Cricetulus griseus: one gene and its partners. The protein of the gene in region 1 interacts with the protein of each later gene in a pairwise test. Links are inferred from orthologs where the notes say so. Each region holds a gene or a part of one and is shown on either strand. Other genes may lie near its edges.

The links. The genes of interacting proteins can lie anywhere in the genome.
Region 2: the proteins of protein boule-like (region 1) and Znf385c interact in a two-hybrid assay, tested with the Homo sapiens proteins (2 studies listed by BioGRID). The two-hybrid records come from large-scale screens. The link is inferred for Cricetulus griseus from reciprocal best matches to the Homo sapiens genes BOLL and ZNF385C.
Region 3: the proteins of protein boule-like (region 1) and CUNH1orf94 interact in binary tests that used the Homo sapiens proteins (3 or more experiments, as listed by UniProt). The two-hybrid records come from large-scale screens. The link is inferred for Cricetulus griseus from reciprocal best matches to the Homo sapiens genes BOLL and C1orf94.

What each region holds. Positions count from the first base shown.
Region 1 is NC_048595.1:409,763,760-409,767,836, forward strand, and holds the start of protein boule-like, read right to left. Parts: upstream 2,837-4,077; coding exon 2,816-2,836; intron 1-2,815. UniProt on the Homo sapiens protein: Probable RNA-binding protein, which may be required during spermatogenesis. May act by binding to the 3'-UTR of mRNAs and regulating their translation.
Region 2 is NC_048600.1:113,701,090-113,705,292, forward strand, and holds the start of Znf385c (zinc finger protein 385C), read right to left. Parts: upstream 2,837-4,203; coding exon 2,587-2,836; intron 1-2,586.
Region 3 is NC_048595.1:25,030,227-25,034,334, forward strand, and holds the start of CUNH1orf94 (uncharacterized protein C1orf94 homolog), read left to right. Parts: upstream 1-1,272; coding exon 1,273-1,586; intron 1,587-4,108.

The DNA.
Region 1 (4,077 bases):
CCAGCAGTTCTGTTCTTTTGTTAAAGAAGATCAACACCAGATGAAGTCACTAAAATTACAATGGACCAAAAGAAAAAGAAGCATTCTTTAATCATGTCTGAATACTGATAAGCCTTTCTCCCCGAAATCCTGTCTAAAAGTCTCAAGCTTATATTGCATAAATCAAGTTCTTAACACCAGAGAGGACCAAAGGTGTACTTTCTTCCTAGTTCCAATGACTTCACAGACACAACTCAATTACAGATGTGTTCTTGGTAGTCTTTGGCTAAAGAGCACTGACAAATTAATACATTTGCATAATTCTAGCCTGAAAGTCAAAATTTAAAATGCATGAATCTTCTTGAAAATTAGACTGATCTTTAAGAAAATTACATACCTAGCTGGGTGAAGTGGGGGAGGCAGAAGCAGGTAGATTTCTGTGACTTTAAGTCCAGCCAGGGTTCATCAGTGAAAATTTTACATACCTAAACATTATGAAAAATTACACATCTAAACACTTAACTATACATTTACACGATGAAGAATTGAGATCAGTATATATCCATCATGTTCATACTTCTAAATTGGAAGGCTTGTCAAGATCAATGTATAAGATTTTGCATAATGGCAACTGAACAGACTTGAACTGTACGATGAAAAAAATCAAGATACACATTAAAAAAAGCCTATTATTTCTTTCTGCGAAGACTAAATAGACTTTTGAGACAGCCTAGCATACTAACTTCTTCAAAAATACTCAAGTTCATAATTCGTTAAGAAATATCTCGATGAAGTTTTAATTTAGATGGTATAGTAGTTCTTTTCTATATTTGTCCTTTTTCATTTTATTGGCTGACAAAACCCATTATTTTAGATGTTCCTATGATTAAAATAAAAAAGACAAATTCGCTGTCCTCTTGAATATTATATCATTGTACAAAGTAACAGCTAAATATAATATATGGTATGTTAGAAAATGGAAAGAAACAGAGATGGATAGTAGTATGTAATACTAATAGAAATGATAGTTATTTCTGTTTCAACAAAGGGAATCTCCAGTTGTAAAGAGTACCAATGATATTCTAGAAAACATTGTACTACCAGAGAAAATCATCTAGCTTCAATAGATATAACCTTGTCTCTTTGCCCATTTATTTACAGTACAGAACTTGTTAATAATAAAAAAGTCTCCAGAAAATTCTCTAAAAACAAGAGTTCGAGTTCTATCGAAGTTATATTTTGTCCTCACGTTTAAATAAGAAGACAAACTCCATCATTTTTCTTGTGAGAGGTTGATGAAAACAGTCCCAATGAAGAGACTTCAGGTTACTCACCGAGGGGGAAAAAATAATTATTTTTTAAACAACCAATTCACTTGATTCCCTTGTTTTTAAAGGCTCCTTTAAAGGCTCCTGTTGTGGATGCCAACTGCTTAATTTTTTTATTATCTATCACCTTCTAATTTAATATATATTTATCTACCGCTTTGCACTATGCTACAATATTCACAAGGGCAGGAAGTTTGCCTGTATATTTATAAGTAATATATACTTATATTTAAAACACTGCAACGTGTAAACCAGTGACACGACATGGCAAGTGTTCAAGGAGTATTTGTTGAATGTATAAAACTGACAGACATTTGTTCCAGGAGAAATCTGCCTAGCATGTGCTGGACATTTAGATAAGGCCCGAAGTGCCAGCAATATTCTAGAACACGCTGTATTGTTCGCAGCCACAAGTCTTGGATAGCGGTAATATCTAAGTTCCTTAGAGGTTAGCGGTGGCTCTAACACGGGGAACCTCTCATTGTCAACCGTTTGAAAGCATGGAGGCAGGGGCTGCTCCCCGGTTGTTAGTATGGGTTCTCTGCTTCCTTGTAAAGCTTGGCCACTAACAAGTTTATTAGGACACTCTTCCGCAGTAACACGGCCTCACTGCCTCCTTCTCTGGGACTTAACCGAGAAAGGGACCGACCGTCTTTGCGAGGACAAAAGGAAGAGGAGGGCTAACCGTCGCAGTCACCGCCTCGGTGCTCCTTCCCCTCTGAGGCCAGCAGGTGGAGGCGATGGGGGAAATGGCCGAAGTGACAACTTCGTCGGGTTCTCTCGGGTCATCGTGAACCGAGGCACCGACACGAGGATCCCCCCCCTCCCCACCAAAGTGCGGGAGGGAAAAGAAGGCGAGCCAGCGAGAAATTTTGCCAGGCAAACCCGCCAGCAGCGGTGGCGGGAACCCTCAACGGCACCGACCACGCGCCGGCCGACTCGTGCGCAGCGGGCCGCGGCCCTGCGCTGGCGCCCGCTGATTGGCTGTCTGCCGGCACGGGGCAGGGCGGCCGGCACGTTACCAGGCTGCGCTGGGGCCCGTAGGCCCCGGGCCGGGCCCAGGCCTCACCCGGGGGCGGCGCGCGTTAGCTGCGGCCTTCCCGAGCTCAGGCCTTTCCCCGGGGCGGAGCGTCGACGGCCACTCGCCTGGTGGCCGCGGGCGACGAGAATGTTGGCTCCGGAAGGGCGAGCGTCGAGGGCGCCGCAGTTTGGGCGGGAAAGCATTTCGGGGCCGCCGCTCGCTCGCTTGCTCGCTCGTTGGGCACGGAGGACAGAGCCTGCCCGCGGTCCCCGGCCGTTTCCCCGCGCCACCCACCCGCCCACATGAGTCCAGACCCCCGGGGCCGCCCCTTCTCACACACCCGACGGGCCGCTCTTCGCAGCGCGGGCGCGGGGGGGGGGGCGCACCGCCTTCCTCCCCAACCGAACAGCCAGCGTTTGGGCTCCAAAGCACACCCTTCCAACCCCTCGGAGGCCGCGCCGCGCAGGGCCCAGACCCCAGCACTCACCGCCCGTGACTCGGTCTCCATCTTTCCCCTCCACACTTCAGAGAGGCAGGAGGCGCCGCAAGTTCAAGTTGGAAGGCGCGCGTTCGGAGGAAGCGAGCCGGTGCGGCTCCCGTCGGGGACTCGCTCCCCCTGGCGGCGGCGGCGGGGGCTGCAGCGACGCGGCCGGGAGAGCTGGGGGGGTGGGGGGGCGGCGTGGGAGGGGGCTGTGAGGAGGAGGAGGCGCTTTTGCGCAGGTCCCGGGGACGCTCGCTTGCCCGCTCGCTCGGCGTGGGGCTGCGTACTGCGAGGGGCGACGTGGGACAGCGTGGGACTGCGCGTACTTCCAGGGGCGGCGTGGGACGACGTGGGACTTCGTGTACTGCGAGGATCGGCGTGGGACTGTGCGTACTGTGAGGGGCGGCGTGGCACAGCGTGGGACTTCGTGTACTGCGAGGATCGGCGTGGGACTGTGCGTACCTCGAGGGGCAGCGTGGGATGCGCTCACCTCCCAAGCCCAATGCACTATGGAAGCCAAGAGCTGCGGGCAGTACACAGTCGCAGTCCAAGCTCTGGAAAGCTCATCTCGGCCTCCTTTTTCCAGCGCGGCCCATGGGGACTTCTGAAGGCTGGTTCAAGGACAGGAAGACAGTTTCCACGTGCAAATCATGCTCTTCCTCCCGGCGCCACACACAGACGCTGTGGATGCAGCTCCCGCGGTCGCTGTCAGTCACCCCTGCCAGGTCCTGCCGGGCAGTGCAGTCCAGGCACTGGTAGGGTAGCTGTCTGCTGAGAGCAGGAGGGGCCAGGAGTCTTAATCCCAGCAGCACTCTTGAGGCAGAGGCAGGTGGATCTCTGTGAGTGAGGGTCTAGACAGCAAGTACCAGGACAGTTTAAGGGCTACACAGGGAGGCTCTGTCTCACCCCCCTCCCCGTTCCTGCCCCACTCTCAATTCGCCCCCCCCCCCCCCCCCGCAGAGAGCGCCTGAGGGAACCAGCCTCATTAGCCTTGATCCCATGGCTTTGGGATCTCCTTTGAAGGACTGCTTTCCAAGACTATCTCTAAAAGTTTCCCAAGAGCCCATCTTGTCCTTGAGGTGGCATGTAATTCCAGTTAGATAAACTCTGTAATAGACTGCCATTATTATAATCGACTATCCTTGTTGGACTCATTTCATTTCAGGAACAATGCTTTATGGTCATTTTTCGCACCAATCTTTCTGAGAGATTCACCTGTTGTGTCCCCGTTGAATAACCAGGTGGGTCAGTACTTTGGTCAAGGTCTA
Region 2 (4,203 bases), on another chromosome or scaffold:
AAGTGCCCAAGGGTAGGCACCAAGCATCCCTCTGAGGGTATCTCAGCATCTTGCATTGGGTCTGCCTAGGGCCTCTGATTTCTTGACACACCCTGGATACTTGGTGACTTAACTGGCCTAAAATTTAACAGTCTGGAGTGGGGTGCTAGGCATCCATTTATTGGTGACTTTTAATTTTGAGATTCCCCAAACCATCCCCACCAACACAGGCTCTCTTCTCCTTTTGGTTCCTCTTTCTAATGACTTGAACTGCCCTACTCTCCCCTCCCCAAGAGCCTGCCTAGCTGAAGTCATCCATGCCTCCTCCCTTTCCCTTGCTCCCTAAAGCCCATCGGTCACCAAACCTTGATAGTTCTCCTACACAAAAGCCTACAGAAACTGTTTTCCTACTCCATTTCTTTCTTGGCCGTGTATCTCTATGTCTCATTCTTATCCTTCTCTGGAGACATCTGAAAGATGTCACAATGCTGCTGTGAAGCCTGTCACCTCTGAATCAAAGGCCAAAGCTAACCTGGTAGGAAGACCCCTGTGGGGGTTACCAGCTTACCTCAACCAAGCTCAGCCTGTACCCTGCACAAGGCTCCACCGGCCACTGCCCAGCAAGGCCAGGAGCTCTTGGTGCCTGTACCAGCTCTAACTGTGATTCTGCCTGTGAGACCCTTTCACCTCCAGGAACCAACATCGGTGTCATGGCTTTTGAGCTTCCCACATCAGCTCACTCACTGTTCCCTTCTCTAGTATCTTCCCCTGGCCCCTTTTCTTCTTTTCCTCTGGTACCCAGGGATTGGACTCATAGCCTAATGCAGGCTAGGCAAGTGCTCTACCTCTGAACCTTCATTACTTTAATATGGAGACAGGATCTCACTAAGTTGCCCAGGCTGTCTTCGAACTCACCCTCTAGTGCAGGCTAGCCTTGAACTTGAGATCCTCTTGCCTCTGCCTTTCAAATAACTGGGATTACTGGCCTGTGTCAACAGACTTGGCTTTCTCCTGGGTTCTCTTGACACTTTTTTCACTCACCTCTACAAGGCCTACTACTACCTGAGAATAAATTCATCTTTATGTAGAATGATTTAGACAGCTTTCTTCTTCTTCTTCTTCTTCTTCTTCTTCTTCTTCTTCTTCTTCTTCTTCTTCTTCTTCTTCTTCTTCTTCTCAGATTTGAAAGTCTTAAAAATGTGAGCCCCTCACCTAAAACTGGGTGGTGATGATGTACACCTTTAATCCCAGCACTAAGGAAACAGAGGCAGGCAGATCTCTGAGTTAAAGTCCAGCCTGGTCTACAAAGCAAGTTCCAGGACAGCCAGGGCTACACAGAGAAAACTCTGTCTTGAACAACAACAAAAAAGCGAGTTCTCTGAACAGCAGCTTGAACCTCCACAGATAAGTACACATATTTGATGAATAAATATTTGATGACTAATTGTATGACTTTTAAAAAGACAATCTTGCTATGTAATTCAGGCTGGCCTTGGATTTACATCCATCTTGCTTCAGCATCCTGATTCCAGATGTGCACACCCACCCAGCTTAAATGAATGACCTTTGAACCCCAGTCCTACATGCTCCAGAAATATGGGTCCATCCAATTGCTCAGTCACAGCCTTGGGAGTCCAACTCTAAGTGCCTACTTGGAGGAGTTAATCCCCACTACCACAGTCTTCCTGTCACTCACTGTGGATACGACCTCTGCCTGAAATGTCCCTCACCTGTCACGCTCATCAGCCTCTTCCTCCAAGGCCTTTGTGGCCTGGAGGCGTGTCTCAACTCCCATCTTGCTAAAGGGGCACTGTATAAATGTCACCCAATGATTAGGAACTTTCAAGGTTCAAGGTAGCCTCTGGCAAAACCACCCAGCTGGGCTGCAAGGTGGGTTTCTCCAAGGCATCCCCAGGATCTGGGGTACCAATGCCCCCTGCCTCTCCCTCCTAGGCCTGTGTGTGGATCTGTCTTCCCTGCCAGCCTGCAGCTTGTGACCCCCATGTGCCTGTCAGCAGGCATCACTCTCACAGAAGCATTCACCCATCTCCCCCAGAACACTGCATGGCAGCCAGCTGCCCCTCCAGCATTGGCAGCTAAACCCCTACAAAGTCACCCCAGCCAGGGAGAGGCAGAAATCCCGGCTGGGAGTCCAGCTGCCACGGGAAGAGCAGCTCCTGTTGTTCCTTGGCTGCAGTGCTGTGCACCGTGCTGACCCCAGCCAGAAAAGCAGGAGTCTGGAACACTCTGAAAGTGAGGTGGTTGTCTGAGAGACTGTCCCTGCCTGATGCTCCAGACTAAAGAAATGCTATGAATGTCCTCACCACCCACAGGGAGAGCTTCTAGAACTGAAGAGACCTCAAGAGGAGACTTCAAGACTCTCACATCCCCTGAGATCCCGTGGAAAGCTGTCCAGAAGCAAAACAAAACTTTCAACTTTCTTTGGTTTTTGCGGGGCTGAACCCACACCACATTCGGGGTAGGCGCCATGCCACCGAGCTACAACCTCAGCTCTGTAAATAAAACCTGACAGTATCAGACCCAGGATCCCTTAAAGAGACCCAGATTATAGAAGGGGTGTTAAGCTCAGCGCCACTCCACACTAACCTGGCCCTGTGGAGGTCTTGCCCAGGCTGAGCTGCCGAAGCCTCCGCTGGTGGGCGCGTCCCCCACAATGCACCTGGGCCTGGGCAGCAGAGTTCAGCTGGATGTTGCAGACATCGCAGAGTGTGTAGGAAGGTTGCTTCCTTTCCCGCTTAGGCTTCGATGATTCTGGAGAGTGAGGGGGACACTCAGATGCTGCAGTTGTGGGGGGCTCCTTTTCACTTGAGGGGGATGGGCTCAGTGGCCGCTTCATACCTGAGCAGATAGAATGAGACAAGTATGTGAGGCTGAGTGGTTGTGAACACACAGGGCAGGAGAGGTTTGAGATCTGGAAATGCTGGTGGGTACGCCAGGAGACCCCACTTGACTTCCAAAGACACCCCTCAGCCAAAATGTCAAGAGGAAACATGATGGGCGGTCTGTTTTAGTCAGAGTAGCATTAAAATGGCTGCACACTGGGAGGCTGGTGGCACACAGGGTCTCAGGGACTAAGCAAATCTCGGCGAAGAAGAGGGGGTCTTGGAGGCAAAGCGGCACTGGGTAAACAGCAGCAGACTGTTTCTACCCAGGAGCCAGCAGAGTCATATTTTGGGGAGCCATTGTCCTGTTGTCAGCCTCGAGGCAAAGACTGACAATCCTGTGACAGCCGGGCGTGTGGCACCTACTGGAGACACTACAGCCCTCTGGCCAGAAACCCAACCATCCTGTGCCCTATACCTAGCAGGGTGACATTCACCAATAGTGACAGCCGGAAGAGACATCCCCACCCCTTTCCCACATGGCTTGAGATGCCCCTACTGTCTTGGTTACCTGAGCTGAGGACACAGTTGGCCGTTTGGTTGAGACCTGGGTCTGCTGAACACAGCGTTCAGACCCTGCCCGAACCTGGACTTTCATGTTCTCCCCTCAGGCAATTATCCCCATTTTAGATAACCTCTCCCTCCTAACTCATTGCTTGGTACTTTCACTTGTCTGCTTCTGTTTCTACCCAGGAGCCAGCTGCCAAATCCCCTTTCTCAGACAGAACTTGTAATATTCACTTCCCTCCTGGTGTGTGTTGTACATGTTTACAATATGTGTGTGTACATGTGTGCACATGTGCATACCTATCCGTAGGTGTGTGTACGTGTGCATGTATGTGTGTGCATTTACACATGTGTGCGCACCTGTGCATATGTGTGTGTACCAATACGTAGGCGTGTGTATTTGTGCATGTGCATATGTGTGCGTGTACAATACGGACCTGTGTATTATGTGTGTGTAAATACACACGTGTTTATTTCCTGCCTCAGCTTCACTAGGAGACTTCCTGATGTCAGTCCTGTTCTCCTCAGACTTAAGCAACCCCAAGGTTTGGGAAAGCATGACTGAGCCCACCTCTTTCTAGTTGCAGATAATCTGTGCAACCCTTTTCCATCCATGTTGAAGCCCTAACCTTAAGTATACCAGAATATGACTGCATTTGGATAAAAGTTTTTTTTTTCTAAGCAGGGCTTCTTGTGGAACTCTGTAGACCAAACTGGCCTTGAACTCAGAGATCCACCTGCCTCTGTCTCCTGAGTGCTGGGATTAAAGGCATGCAACACCACCACCTGGCTCAAATACTGTCTTTATAAGACA
Region 3 (4,108 bases), about 380 Mb from region 1:
CCCAGGGCACTAGATCAGGTCTAGAGTCCTGAGTTTTTGAATTTCAGCCTTCCTTCTTGAACTCTGGACAAACACAACTTTTTAGGACTTGGAGACTCATGTATGCCGAATAAGAAGTAGTACTAAACTCTTGACCTGGAATAGGATAAGATTTGAGCTCAGCCCTTGGCATTCGGTGCTCCCTTGGAATGGCAGTTAGGATTAATGCCAGAGGACAAAAGGGCAGGTCGCCCACCCCTCAGAGGCTCTTAAGTATGTCTGTAGTGGTGGGGGTGGAGACAGTGTTTCATTTTGACTTACTTCAAAGGGGAAGCTCTCTGGGGTCTTCCCGGCTGCACCCCGCCCCCACTCCACCAGCGGACCTTGGATACGAACGCCTGGCCCGTGTCCCCGCGCACCCAGCCGCCGAGCCGTTGCGCTTGAACCCACAGAAAGAATCCCAGCTCTCGACGGCAGGGGAGTGGGAGATACTCGGCACGCAAATCTGCTGACCCCCGCCCCGGCCCACCCTGCCCAATCGGCGCCCTTTTAAGGGTTGGGACCCTCTGCGGTGCTGGGTCTCAGTTCTGCGCGGAGGCGCTACAGGTGTCCGCTGGGGACCTAGGCCAGGCTGACTGCCAGCACAACACCGCATAGGAGATTTCTTTCTAGGGAGGCAGAACAGCAGTAGCAGCAGCAGAGAGAGAGGGACAGAAGGGGGCAGCCGGGAGAGCTAAAGCCAGGAACTGCGGTGGGCGAGGGCCGTTAGCCCTTGGCGTGCACCGGATCTCTGGGAAGGTGGGAGGAGACAGTCCCATGGCCTGCCCCCACCCAGTCTAGTACAGTGCCCAGCCCTTACTCAGCCCTCCTGGCGGCTTGACAGGCGAGAATGGGCTGAGTCACAGGCCCTGAAAGGTGTCACAGGGGTGTCGCAACGGGGGTGTGCCGGGTTCTGTGGGGAGAGCCAGTCCTCCCCTCCAGTCGTTCCCAGATGTCATTCTGCCCGCCCAGGCGCTTGGTTCCTGAGTTCCGGGGCATTCCACGGTTACTAAGTTACTGGTTTTTGTTGACTTTTAAATATTTTCTTCTACGGGAGAGGGGGAGGGGGGCAAAAGTCAGGAAAGAGCAAATAAAAGCAAGTCAACATAAGCCCCCCTTCCCCAAAAGAAAGTTGCCCCCTACTCCTCATCCCCACCCAAACAAAACGCCTCTGAAACCCATCCCTTGGCTGGAGCATCAGCCAGCTAGAACTGACTACTTCCCAGGCCCAGTCTTTAGCTCCCTTTCTGGTGAATGAGGGCTGGTGGTGGACAGTCCCTTTGTCTCCCAGCCCTGGGTGGACAAAGGGGCTTCCGGAAAGAGAGAAAGAGGATGGCCAGTGGAAATGGGCTCCCTCCATCCTCGGCCATGGTGGCCAAGCGTCCCTCCGCCCTGGGGCCATTCCCCAGATACGTGTGGATCCACCAGGACACACCCCAGGATAGCCTAGATAAGATTTGCCATGACATCTGGAAGAGAGTTCAGGGCTTGCCGGAGTCCCTGCAACCCAGGACCTCGCTGGAGAAACTCTCGGCGCCGATGACCGCGACTGTCAGCTTCCAAGAAGAGTGAGTAGTGCCCTGTTTGGTTGATTATCAAGGAATGGAGGGAGGGGAAATGAAGTCTGACTTAGGGTTGAACTCTCTCTGGCCAGTGTTAAACTCTATAAACATTTTCTTCATCCCTTAGTATGGGTAGTTTGGAGGAGGGAGCTGGCCACGGTGCTGAAATTCCAGGAGCAAGGGAAGAAACCATTCCTGATGGCTTCTTTCCAGATACTAAGGAGACATTGTCATTCTAAAGGCATAGACAACTAAGATGAAAATCTGGGGTCCTGGCAAGAGTATTCTCACCAAGCCTAGGGGTAATATCACTGTCCCCAGAGGCAACTAGGTGATCTTTCCCCTCTCCCAAGAAAAGTTCAGGCATTGGCACAGATGAGTCTGATGGCTGGAAACCACATCTGGAATCCCCTAATACAGAGAGCAGCTGTCCCATTCAGCATCCACAGAGCTACTGCAAGAGCGCACATCAAAATATTTACTGGGAAGGCATTGACATATTCAGAGGACATAATAGAAAATTAAAGTGCGGGAAGATGACTGTAAATAGCCGGTTTCCCGGATGGGAAATCCCATGTCTGGGAAACACAGAGCTAAGTGTTTCTGCACTAGGAAAAAGTTGAAGAGATATTGTTGGGGCTGGATATTGGAAATGAGAGGAAGGAGCAGAGAGGAAGAAGGGATCTCATTAGGAGAAGGAGTGCATTCGTTTTGGTGATTAATGTCACTGCTGAGTACTCTTTCAAGGCTCTGCACCTTCAAAGTGGGCTGCAAGCGTTAATTAATCCTCCCAGCATCCCTATGAAACAGGTATTAGTGTCCCCATTTTACAGATGGATTAAGTGTTAATAATTAAGTGCCAATTAAAGCCTAAGTGATAATTAAGTGTTGTCTGCCCCCAACACATGCTCCAACTCAGTTCAGAGATGGGGGAACCATTCAGGCATTTATCAGCTGCCTCAGGTTTCAGGGCTCTCTAAGCAATAGCTGAGAGGGAAAGAAAAGTATAGCAGATGCTCAGGTCTGCACTTCCTGCAATCCCTTTGCAAGCTCCTTTGCTTGATGCAGATGAAGGTAGAAGGCATGCTGGCTGCTTCTGCCTCCTCTGCCCTATGCTCAGCAGGACCCGGCTCAGATGGAAATGGCCTTTCTATAGCCAGAATCCTGTGGCTAGTCTTTTCAGTGGCACCGAGCTCCTCTGTCTTGTTCATTGCCATCTGCTCTGGGACAGTGCCTTGGCATGGGAAACCTTGGGGGCTGTACTCAGCTCTCTCAATGGCCAAGGAGCTGATTGTCCACTTTCTGGATCATAGGTCAGTAGCAATTTCCAGTAGATAGCCCCTTCTCTGCCAGGTCACACTGAATTCATGGAGACAGACTCTACTTCCAGTCCACACTTGGCCAGAAATTGAACTAGCCTACCTTTGGCCAGTTGATTCATTCTGTTTGGCCCTGATTTCCTCATCTGCAAATTGAGGATGATGTGCCCTGCCTTGTCAACTCAGAGTCGATAATGAGGGTCAAATGTGATGGGAAACAAAGAAATGAAAGATGCATTATAGAAACAAGACCGCCTTAATATGTAATGCACCGAGTTTTGGGGTGGGAGGGTTACTGCTGTTGGCTTTCTTCTGGAGTTTTCATGTGGTCTCCAAGTCCCAAGGGTGCTTCACACAGCCACCCTAGAGTCAAGTGGGTTGTCTGCTGGGTCCCACACATACTTTAGTCAGAGCTGTTCAGGCTTTTGTTGGTTTTACTACTGGAGTTCTGAGTATGGTTGCATTTGAAAGAGTTTGGTGACTGAGAAGAGACCCAGGAAACCACCTACTTGGAGGAATAAACCACATCATAGTTGTAGCTATCCACCTGGTAGAACACAATGAGAACTTCATGAAATGAAAGCCAGTGCTTCTGGAGTCAGACAACCAGGTTCAGCCCCGCGCTGGATGCAGAACTGTGACTGTATGGTGGATCTTAACTTTGGTCATCTGCCAAATGGAGGTGACAGTAGGGGTTGCTGGAGGTGGCAAATCTGAATCGTTCAATGGTCCTGCTAGTAATTAGGATTCATAAATTCCTTCTAAGAACAGCAGTTATAATTTCTGTAAATCTTGAAATTTTTGCAGGCAAGAGGTAGTACCTTTTCAAATTCCCCATTCTTTTTTCACTATACAAATTTGCAAACCCCCAAAATAAAGGTAGCGAGAGCCTATAGATCTAAATTTTTAATTTTTTTTTAATTTTTTATTTTCTGTGCACTCATGTTTTGCCTGCATATATATCTGTGGGAACCCCATGTTCTGAGTGATGAAGGGTAAACTTTAAAACTAGAGGGCACACCACTGTTTCTTATGTGTTCAGATACACACCTGCTGGGTTTTCCCCTGCCTAATGTGTAGAGTTTTGATGGGGGAGGTCCTTCTGTGCATATGTTTGTCTTATTGGCTGATAAATAAAGTACTGTTGGCCAACAGGGAAGCAAGATAGGTTGGACTAGGAGGGTTCTGGGAAATGTAGTAAAGGGAAGT